3 linked regions of the Danio rerio genome follow. The protein of the gene in region 1 interacts with the protein of each later gene in a pairwise test. Links are inferred from orthologs where the notes say so. Each region holds a gene or a part of one and is shown on either strand. Other genes may lie near its edges.

The links.
Region 2: the proteins of fam161a (region 1) and lmna interact in binary tests that used the Homo sapiens proteins (3 or more experiments, as listed by UniProt). The link is inferred for Danio rerio from reciprocal best matches to the Homo sapiens genes FAM161A and LMNA.
Region 3: the proteins of fam161a (region 1) and lzts2a interact in binary tests that used the Homo sapiens proteins (3 or more experiments, as listed by UniProt). The two-hybrid records come from large-scale screens. The link is inferred for Danio rerio from reciprocal best matches to the Homo sapiens genes FAM161A and LZTS2.

The regions. Positions count from the first base shown.
Region 1 is NC_133176.1:57,133,143-57,136,038, forward strand, and holds part of fam161a (protein FAM161A), read right to left. Parts: intron 1,378-2,896; coding exon 1,278-1,377; intron 1,146-1,277; coding exon 988-1,145; intron 1-987. UniProt on the Homo sapiens protein: Involved in ciliogenesis.
Region 2 is NC_133191.1:33,779,852-33,783,511, forward strand, and holds part of lmna (lamin), read right to left. Parts: intron 3,548-3,660; 5' UTR 3,527-3,547; coding exon 3,180-3,526; intron 1-3,179.
Region 3 is NC_133188.1:20,794,872-20,799,295, forward strand, and holds the start of lzts2a (leucine zipper putative tumor suppressor 2a), read right to left. Parts: upstream 2,836-4,424; 5' UTR 2,674-2,835; intron 1-2,673. UniProt on the Homo sapiens protein: Negative regulator of katanin-mediated microtubule severing and release from the centrosome. Required for central spindle formation and the completion of cytokinesis.

The sequences.
Region 1 (2,896 bases):
AAGTTGAGATTTCTGCTTAGGAGCAGTTTGGCTGATCACTTATATAATAACAGCAATCTAGAGGCCTGAAAATAAGTTTCAAAGGGCATGTTTTTGGAAGTATTAGCATTATAAATTCTGTAAAATGAATGCATGTGTGCAGGTGAGTTGCTTTTCTATATAAAGTCACCTGACAACTACTGGTCTGGTATGAACACTATAATGCCTTCAGTCATTTTGTGGATCTGTGAGCATGAAGATAAATATCGCAGTCTGTACATGAAGCTTTTTGGGTGGTTTTTAGGCCAATTAAAGGCTTAAGAGATAATTAGGCAATTTGGGTTAATTAGGCAAGCATTTGACAACATTGGTTTGTTCTGTAGCCAATGGAGTACAATGATTTCCTAAGGGGGCTAATAATAATGGCCTTAAAAATAGTTTGAAAACAACTATAAACTGATTGTATTCCAGTCAAATTAAAATAATTAAGACTTTCTCAGGAAGAAAAAATTTTAAGGGAATACTGTTAATGTTTCTTGCTCTGTTACGCCCCATTCACACGGGGCTTCAGCATCAATGCTTGACTGAAGGCGTGTTTGAAGTTGGGGCTAACGCGATCGTCATAGCAGCGTCAGCCAATTAAATTCAGTCAGCAATAGGCCACTGTCTAGCTGGTGTATTCGCATACAGCGATCTGATTGGCTGACGCTTCCGTCAACGCTTGAAAAGTTAAGCTAGTCCCCACTTCTGCAGCGAGCAACGCCTCTGCAACGGCGCCGACGGATCCACAATGCAGTTTGGCAACGCCTGACATCACCCCATTCAAAGTGAATGGGAAGCCTTGACGCTGAAGCCCCGTGTGAATGGGGCGTTAAAGATAACTTGGAAAATACCTGAAAAATAATTGAAATTTCAGAGGAAATCTGATAAATATGCTACAAAAATCTTTTTAAATTGTACACAAAAGGGATTTTTTGACTTGCTGGTTTATTTGTGGATCATTTATACCTGTATGTGGGTGGACTCATGCTGTCGGAGTGGGCGGGGCTTGGAGTCAGTCTGTTTTCTAAGCCCTTTGGAGCTTTACTGCTGATAAAGGATTCACTCAGACCACATCCATGCAAAGTGGAAGAGTAGAGCTTTTCAGCAGCTCTCTTAGCATTCATCTGAGAAAACAAGAGACAGCCTTATATTATCTACCAAATTTGAGACTTTTCAAGTGCTCCGTCTCTCCTCAAGTCCCAAAGAAAAGCCTATAAATTGAAAACAACAAAATAAATTAGATATAATGTGCCTACCTGTGCTACTTGCTCCAGTAACAAAGGCCTTCCCTTTACTCTTTTCTGGATTTCTCTCATCTCGTCCTGATACTCTTTCTGTCTCTGGAGATCTTGTTTCCTGTTTATAAGCATATACAGTATATAGTGCGGAGCATAAATAAGTACAGCATCTTTTGCAAATTATTTGATCAGTTTCTTTGGGAATGTAGACAACATAGTTTGATGCATTTAAACAAAACAGTTATATTAAACAGTCACATTAATTAAAGTAAATTTGAACTACAACATAGTTTTTATGTTTCTTTTGATCGTTTTTTTTTTCGGTATTGCAATTTATTGTATATATTTCACTAGAAATTTCAATGGGGTGAACTAATTTTTATTGCATTTTATTATATTTTTAATCATATGTTGAAGGTGAATGCATACCTTGGCTCTAAGGGTCAAACAACAAAAAATGAGGTCACGAGTCTTGATGTGATTTTGGAGTCAGCATACTATCAAAGACGATAGAATACACAAGACAAGTCACTCGTATACTTTTGAATGAGGAATAGTGTAACTGTCAATATGGCGAATGAAGGCCCGCCTTCTAGTAGAGGAGCCAATCAGCGATTGCTATATTGAGAATAAAGCCCGCCTTCTAATACAGTAGCCAATCAGCAATCGCTATTGAATGACAATTCTCCAAGAAGGGGCTCGGACCAGATGTGAGTTTCTGCTGATTTGTGTGATACGAACATTTAGAAATGAAACTAAATAGACAGTCGTTGTTTTATTTCATTAGTTATTGGTAATGTTAAATGTAATTGTAATCTTGGCAAGTAGTTTTGGAGAATTTGTTGTTTCCCCATTTAAACAGAATGCCCGAGCATACTGCCCAAGAGGTGTTTCAAAGATGGCCGCAGAGTGAAATGACTTGCCTTAAAGGGACTTTGATACTATCATTGCACTTGATCCTATCACTCAAAAACATTGCAAGAATTAGATGCTTTGTTTCCAGTGAGGGCTTAGAGAAACTTGCTTTTATGACCAGCAGGGTGGATTACTCTAATGGACTCCTCACTGGCCTTCCCAAAAAGACAGTCAGACAGTTGCAGTTTATCCAGATTTACACATTTTAATCGGTTTCTTTTATTCTTATTTATGTAAAGCACTTTGAATTACAATTGTTTATGAAATGTGCTATAAAAATAAACTTGCCTTGCCTTACAGTGACTTAACTTACTATTAGGGCCAGAAAGAATCTGCAGACATTTTTTGGTATTTCTGCAAAGAATTTTGTAAAAAATCTGCCGATTTATGCGGAATTATTAAAGGAGTATCATAACTACAAAATTATTAATTTATGAATAAATAATCTATATTTGACTTTGACTTGATGTTTACAATGCAAATCAAGTTAGATCCACTTTTTTGGTAAACAAAGCAAGTCACTCATCTAATTCATTCATTCATTCATTTTCTTGTCAGCTTAGTCCTTTTATAAATCCGGGGTCTCCACAGCGGAAAGAACCGCCAACTTATCCAGCAAGTTTTTACGCAGCGGATGCCCTTCCAGCCGCAACCCATCTCTGGGAAACATCCACACACACACTCCTACACTGCGGACAATTTAGCCTACCCAATTCACCTGT
Region 2 (3,660 bases), on another chromosome or scaffold:
TGACTGTTTTTAGAGAATCATTTGATGACATTAAAGAATACTATTTAATGATCACCAGAAAGAAGTTCATAATCCTTTCAACAGTTATCACTTATTCTGCAATGCATTGTCATAAACATCAAAATAAATATAACGATTAATTTTTCATGTAAATATACCCATTACACTGAATGGCGATGAAGTGTTATTTTCACCCATATGCTAAGCTTTTATTTGCACAAAAGTTATTTGAAACATTAAAGTAATTATAATTGGCTTTTGGCGGCATAGTGGCTCAGTGGTTAGCACTGTCACCTCACAGCAAGAAGGTCACTGGTTCAAGTCCCAGCTGGTCCAGCTGGCATTTCTGTGTGGAGTTTGCATTGTCTCCCCACGTTCACGTGGGTTTATTTCAGGTGCTCCGGTTTCCCCCACAGTCTAAAGACATGCGGTATAGGTGAATTGAATGAACTAAATTGGTTGTAGTGTATGAGTGCGTGTGAATATAAGAGTGTTTCCCAGTACTGGGTTGCAGCTGGAAGGGCATCCACTGCATAAAACAAATGCAGAAAAAGTTGGCGGTTCATTCCTCTGTGGTGACCCCAGATAAACAAGGGACTAAGCTGAAGGAAAATGAATGAATTGACTTATTATCCCTTATTCCTATCATTATACTGAGTGACGCTAGTGGAGGCTCAACACACACTGGGAACTAATTTAACTAATTAATCATCAAAACAACTCACTACAGTGCAAATTATAAACATGTATCATCTTGCTTACTGGTGAAAACTTCACATAGTAAAAATGTTACTCTCATTTCTTAATCAGTACAATATGTTACCCTAGCAGCAAAACAATAAAAAAGAAGACTTTATCAAACTATAAAGAGGAATGTAATGACACAAAACAGAAACAGACACACTACACAAGTTGCAGAAGGGTGTGGCAGAGAATCCAACAGACATTTCCCAAGCACACACAACACACCCACATTCACACCTCACATACCTGCTCCACTGAGCAACAGACATGGCATGCGTGTGGTTTTAGTGTTGTTGTTTTTATGAAATCATTTCTACTTTGGTGAGAATATCAAACCCAAATCCCAAGGTTTAGAACTACAGGGATTATTTGTTTAAAGCCATGATAATAATTTAAATTAAATAAATTTCATTTTAATTTAAGAACACATCAAACAGAGTAAAGCTCTGAGCTGTCAGCCTCAGTGACAGGAGCAATAAGCAGATGTGCAGTGTAGAAAACTGCCGTCATGGTTCAGCTAAATTTAGCCAGGGACTAGGCTGAGAGCCCAGGGGCAGGGGATAGACACCGTCCTGCTCTTTAGGGTTAAACTTACAGTATCTCTAGGATGTGTGAAAGAAATCTCAGAGAGCAACAGAGGACAAGCACTTGCATTAGCCACTGTCTGCAGCTTTTGAGTGTTTTATGGATCAGTAAGCCACACACCGTTCTGAAACTAATCCTAGTGGAAATACTGTTGGTTCCAGGGTGGAATGAGTCACAGTAATTGCCACTCATGTAACTGCAACTTTAAACTGCAGACTGGTTTACTGGTTTGACTGGCTTGCTGGTTTTAAGAGACTTTTCATTCAAATTTAATTTATTCAATATTTGAATAATTGTTCATACATGACCAAGTGTAAGCTTGTCCGATATTGATTCTTCCCTGTAAAAAACGATTAGTCACCTTACATAAAAAGTAAGCACAATGACTTAAGTGCCTTGTTGCAACTTAAGGCAACTTATCTTTATATTTTTATAATAATACACATGGTTCATTTACCCAATCATTTTATGAAAACATGTTAACTGATTTTTTAAAGTCAACAAATCCCTTAAAATTATTTGTTTACTTTTGATCACTTTTTAACCAAAGTCAACTAATGGCTGTAAAAGCAACAGGTTTTCTAATGTTTTTAAAGGCAAATAACCACTTTAAACGGAACCAGTTTACTTTATTGTTATAAGCAAAGTCAACTAATTGCTTTAAAAGCATCAGGTTTACTAACACTTTTAAAGTAAAGTCAACTAATCGCTTTTACAGTGTCGTTCAGGCTCAAGCTTGTCCTTTATCTTCTTGAATTCTTTGTTGGCTATGCAACTGTGCTGTTTTCTAGACTTGCATATAACATTATTTCATCTTAAAGTTAGCTGTTGGCTTACTCCACCTATGGGCAACAAGAAAAATATGTGATGTATGCCGTGAAGCAGATCGTACTGTTCTGCTCATAGACGTTTCTATATTCGCTTATGTTTCTGCTGGCAGGGGATGGTTGAGGCAGTGTGTACTGTGTATTGACTCCATTACCTAAACTTGCATGTGTGGTTTTAGAGACAGGTTAGCAGAACATGGTAGATCTACACAGAAATGCCAACTGACCCAGCCAAGGCTCTAACCAGTGACCTTCTTGTTGTGAGGAGAGCATGCGACCCACTGCACCACCGCGTCGCCTATCATATCAATATTTCTGGGAATTTATTTCAATAATAATAAAACATTTTGATAAGTACAACAACAACAAAAACAAAAACAACAGTATTTGGTGCCAATAACCCTCTCATAATTAGTTACTATTCATTGAATCATTCATTCAAATGATTTGTTCAAAACTGCTAGTTTATTTAGAAACAAATCCAGTGACTTCCTTTATATATGGATCAATTAATCAATTACACACAAGTCAAACAAAAACAGATGGATTGAAAAATTACAAATATTCTGCTCCATGGCTCGCAAAATCTAGTAGCCCAAAGTCCCAAAGCTATTGTTTTTTTTTTCAGTCAGGCTACCAAAATCCATCTACACTGTGCCCAGTGGGTTATCTAGTGGGCATGGTGTAGATCAAATTTGGTAGCCCCACTGAAAAAACAATAGCCCCGAGACTTAGGGCAACTAAATTTTGTGAGCCCTGTGTTCCTGCATAGTTTGAATATATTTTCATCAACAATATAAAAAAGCTTTTAATAATGTGTCTAAAATGTAAGTTTTATGTAATAAATCATTACTGAAATTCAGAAAAATAGCATGCTTGTTTTTGTGATATCATTACATTGTATCCTATAAATACTGAAAACAAAACTCCATATAGGGATAACATTCAACTTTCTAATAGCCTTCATACTCTTACTAATATCAATGTATAAAACTTTTACATAAAAAAAAAATGAACACATACCTGGCCTTCAGCTCCTTGTAGTCCTCACGCACTTTGCTGAGCTCCAGTTGCAGTCTGGCTCGTTCTTTGGCCACCGAGTCCAGTGTTTTCCTGGCATCTGCGAGTTCAGCCTCGTACGCCGCTTTCATGCCACTCAGCTCCCGGCTGATCTCCGTCTCGGATTCAGTGATGCGCATACGCAGACCTGCGTTCTCCACCTCCAGAGAGCGAACCTTATCGATGTAGACCGCCAGACGGTCATTCAGGTTGCTCAAGTCCTCCTTTTCCTGCAATCGAGAGATGCGGGTAGGGGACAGGACATTGGTCACCCCACCGCGGCTGCTTCGTTTCTGACCTGGAGTCTCCATGGTTGTCTGGAACTACTGATACTAGAATAGAATAGAATAGAATAGAATAGAATAGAATAGAATAGAATAGAATAGAATAGAATAGAATAGAATTATTACAACCCTTTCTAAATAAGAGCATAAATCAGATGCTG
Region 3 (4,424 bases), on another chromosome or scaffold:
AAGCTTTATGTAAGCACTGAGCGAAGAGTGATTGGAGTGTGTATGTGTGTATTCTGGACACCGGACGTTCCAATCTGGGCCAGTTTTTGAGAAGTCATGTTACTTTTTAATTTATGGTCACAAAAAAGCAAAAATATACTAAATATTTGCAATAAACATAAAGTCGCCTAATAGAGAGTTTCACAGTGATCCCATAGAAGAAATATTTTTAGTCCAAAGATCTAAAAAGTAGATCAAAAAGACAATTCATTGGCATTGATGCTTCCATTAAACATTGTTTACATCGTCAACATAAGGTTCTTTTTAGCGGAAATGGTTTTTAACAGTACAGTAAAGGCATTTCACACACACATAAATGATTCCTTTTGGAACTCTTTACTGAAAAGTTGTTTTCAGTAATTTTGTATATGGGAGACGTTCCCATGTACAGAAGTTTGCATCAGCTGGTAAAGACCTTCAACCCACCTAGGTAGGTGTGGCTTTAACACTACTCTGAATTTAATTTCCTCTGTTTAATCCATCATTGTCAGACAAACACAAGTAAAATCAAGCACTAAAGAGCAGTTTTATAGTGGATACTAGGGCTGGGCGATAAAATTGATATCGATATTTATTGACGGAACCACCATTGTCAATATCGATAAAAAAACGATTTAGAATTATTTAGTTCCGGTATAAAGCACTATAGTTTTATTAAAAGTGGCTGATGAACGTGTGCCTTGGAAACAGTGCCAATAAGTTTAGGGTGAAAGTTTGTCATTTCCAATGAAGTCGCGCGACTTGAGCGACGCGCCCATGTTGTGCAGGTGGTGCACACATACACATGTGAACCGTGCACATTTTTGAGCCGCATCTACAGTAGTTAAAAACATTTGAACTTTTCTGAATGCTGAGAGCACACCGCCATTCATGCTAGTAGAATTAACCAATCTGCCTCACACTTTGTATGGAATATACACATTTCAGTAATAACGGCAGACTAATTACCTCAGACAAACACAGCGCAGCCAAACACTGCAGTGCTTTTTACTTTTCTCCATAAACTTGTTGCAGCAATGGTTTTTCTGCAACCATTCCAGATTCCAATTGGAACCAATTCCAGAAACCATGCGCGTGCACTTGTTACTTAAGGTTAGAATAACAACACATGCGAAAATGAGTGCCATATAGCAGCATTGAGGAGATTATAAACAATAAAAGATGTAAAGATGTCGCCAGAGTGGCTTTTTGGTTTCTTTTCTTGTGCATCCTAGCCACTAGCTCCCCATCTGAGACATGTTTTAGCGTAGGGGTAATGTAGCCATTTAAGTATTTAACAATTTGTATTGTTATAATATGTATTTAAATAATTTGAGTTTTACTGCATCATTATTATTGACATCTTACAGATGTTGTTCTACCTTTATCATTGCACACACTTTGTAGCATTTTATTCATCAAGTTTAGGAGTCTCTTTAACACTTATTTATTTTATTATAAAGAGATCAGAAATTTTGTTTAAATATTTTTGTTTTTGACTATTGAACATATTTGCCTTAGTAATGTTGGCAAATTAAAATAAAATGGTTTAAAAAAAAATCTAATATTCCTAAATGTATTTTGTAAGATAATTGTCAATATCAGATGATATGAAACATGATATTGTGATAATATGTTTTGCAATATCACCCAGCTCTAGTAGATACTGATGTTCTGAAAGTTACTGTAGATACTGAAAATATTAATGAGCAACACTGACACCTTTTCTCTATATAAACTTTGCTGTGATTGACTGGGGACACTTTCACATCAGTATTATCAGATGATTTCTGTACATTTGTTTGAATAATTTCAACAAATTTTAGGAAAGAGGAAAAATAGCGCCAAGCTATTTTGAATTTAAAGTTCTATTTTTTTTACTCCTAAAAGAATTGTAAAAAATGTTTTAGTATATATGAACCTGAAGTGTAGTTTCAAAACATTGAATTTCCACAAAATGGTCTCCACAAAACAAAACCAAACCGCTTAGTTGACTCCTGTAAATCAATCCACTCGCAAGGCCCTGCTTTCAAACAAACAAACCAGCCACAAAAACTTAACAAGCTCAACAAACACTCTTTACAGCAGATATAAATACCTATAGGTGACAAAAAACACAAAAGACGTCTCATTTATGTCTTCTAGAGGACAGTGATGTTAAAATGAGAGTAAACTGAGACTTTTGTTTACGCCTCATGCTGCTTATATGGTTTTCCTGTGGGAATCTCACATGTCTCTCTCTGGAGAACCAGAAAAGAGCACAATATTTGACAAGATACCAACGTTTGTAACAGTCTTACTGTCTTAATTTTGTCTTCATTACTTCAAACATTTTAAAGGAGACATCTGGTGACAAACTTAAATGAAGCACAACAGAGTTCACTATTGTATCTTTGTATCTCTGATAAATCAAAACAAAAGCCCAACTTACTCAGCCCCCAAAATAACACAGTATCATTAACATTCTCGCACAGCAGAAAGCACTAACAGTGCTGCTAAAACTTCAAAGAGCGTCTTCTCACCCCAAACCCTATCAGCTTTAAGAAAGTTAATCATTCATTTCACATCACTTCAAAGCTCCCGTGAGCTGCAGTGGTAATCTGAACTCTCGTGCATTCGCAGGCTGCAATAAATCCAGTGGTGTTGCTGACATACCCATAGTGCTCTGCATGGCTGCCTCCTCGCGTCTCCCCAGCCTGTCCTGGAGGTACAATCCCAGTCAGTTCACTGTACTTCTGCTGCTTCTCCTCTCTGTATCACTTTGCTTCTCTCCTACATGCTCATTCTCCGTGCTCCTCCTCCTCATGCCAAAGTTTGCTCTCTTTTCTCTGGCAGAAACCCCCTTCCTCTGTGTCCCGTCCTCTGCTGTTTGCCGCCAGCACCGCCCCCTTCTCCTGCTACCCTCCTCCCATTCGCACTTTGTCTGTGGCCCCTTCCTCCTCCACCACCCCCATCCTCACACACATTTAATCCCTCCTCATACTTGCTCCCTTTTTTCCCCTTGTCTTTCTTCTACCTTTTGCTGTTCTTCATCTCTGACCACGACAGTGTCTGTGGAAAATGGACGACTGCTGTGCAGTTTTTAAGTCTGACATTCAGTGGCTACTTTAAACTTACTGGGCAGGCTGTATCATATTTGATAAGAAGATTTGAAGGGTTCTAAATTGTCAGTGTAATCAAAACTTTGTTGGATAACTCTAGTGTACAATTGACTATATGCCTTCTGTTGTCTTCTTGACAGTTGTGTAATAAGTTTAAGGTCCTTTAGAGTCATTTCTGAAAATTTCCCTTATCAGGACAGGTTGTGGTTTATTTGTCTTTATGTCACATCTTTAAATGATGGTATGGTATGGTATTAGAGGAGTAGCCTTGGATTGGATAATTAGTTATTTAAAAAATAGGCAACAGTTTGTGGAAATTGGCAACCATAAATCATCATATTTAAATGCAAAGTGTGGCATACCACAAAGATCAGTTTTAGGTCCAATATTGTTTATAATTTACATTAATAATATGTGTAAGATTTCAGAGTTGTTTAAGCTTATTTTATTTGCAGATGATACAAGTATCATTTTGTTCTGGGCATAATTTACCAAAATTTATGGAGTTGATTAAAACAAATTAATAAATTGAAATTGTGGTTTGACGTAAACAAATTGTCATTAAATATAAGTAAAACAAAAGGTTTTGTTATCTGGGAAATTAAAAAGTAGACATAATATAGATTTCCAAATTGATAATAAAGTATTTAAGTATAGAGATTATGCAATTATGTTTGTTGGTTTTATATTGGATCATAAAATTAGTTGCGGAAACCGCAAATAAATAATGTAATATCAAAAATAGTAAAAACTGTAGCAATAGTGTAAAAAGCAAGATTTATACTGGACAATATATCAATGTATATATTATATAACACACTTATGTTGCCATATATGAGCTATTGTGTGGAAATTTGGGGGAATACATATACCCCAATATATATATATATATATATATATATATATATATATATATATATATATATATATATATATATTCCCCAATATAATATATATTTACTTACAATCCTTATGTACAATGCAGAAAAAAGTAATTAGACTGATAGAAAATGTGGGGTATTTGGAGCATACAAATCCTTTATTTTTTTAAATTGAAAATACTTAAGTTCAATGATTTGGTTGAATTTAAAACAGCACAATTAATGTTTAAAGCTGGGAATAAAATACTTCCTAAATGCATACAAAAGTTTTTTGAAGAAAGACAAGGGGGATATAATCTGAGAGAAAAACATAATAGGAGGTTGAAAACAAGGACAACTTTAAAAAGTTTGTGTATGTCTGTTTGTGGTGTGAAATTATGCAACATTCTGGAACAGATTTTCAAACAATGTCAGGATATTACTC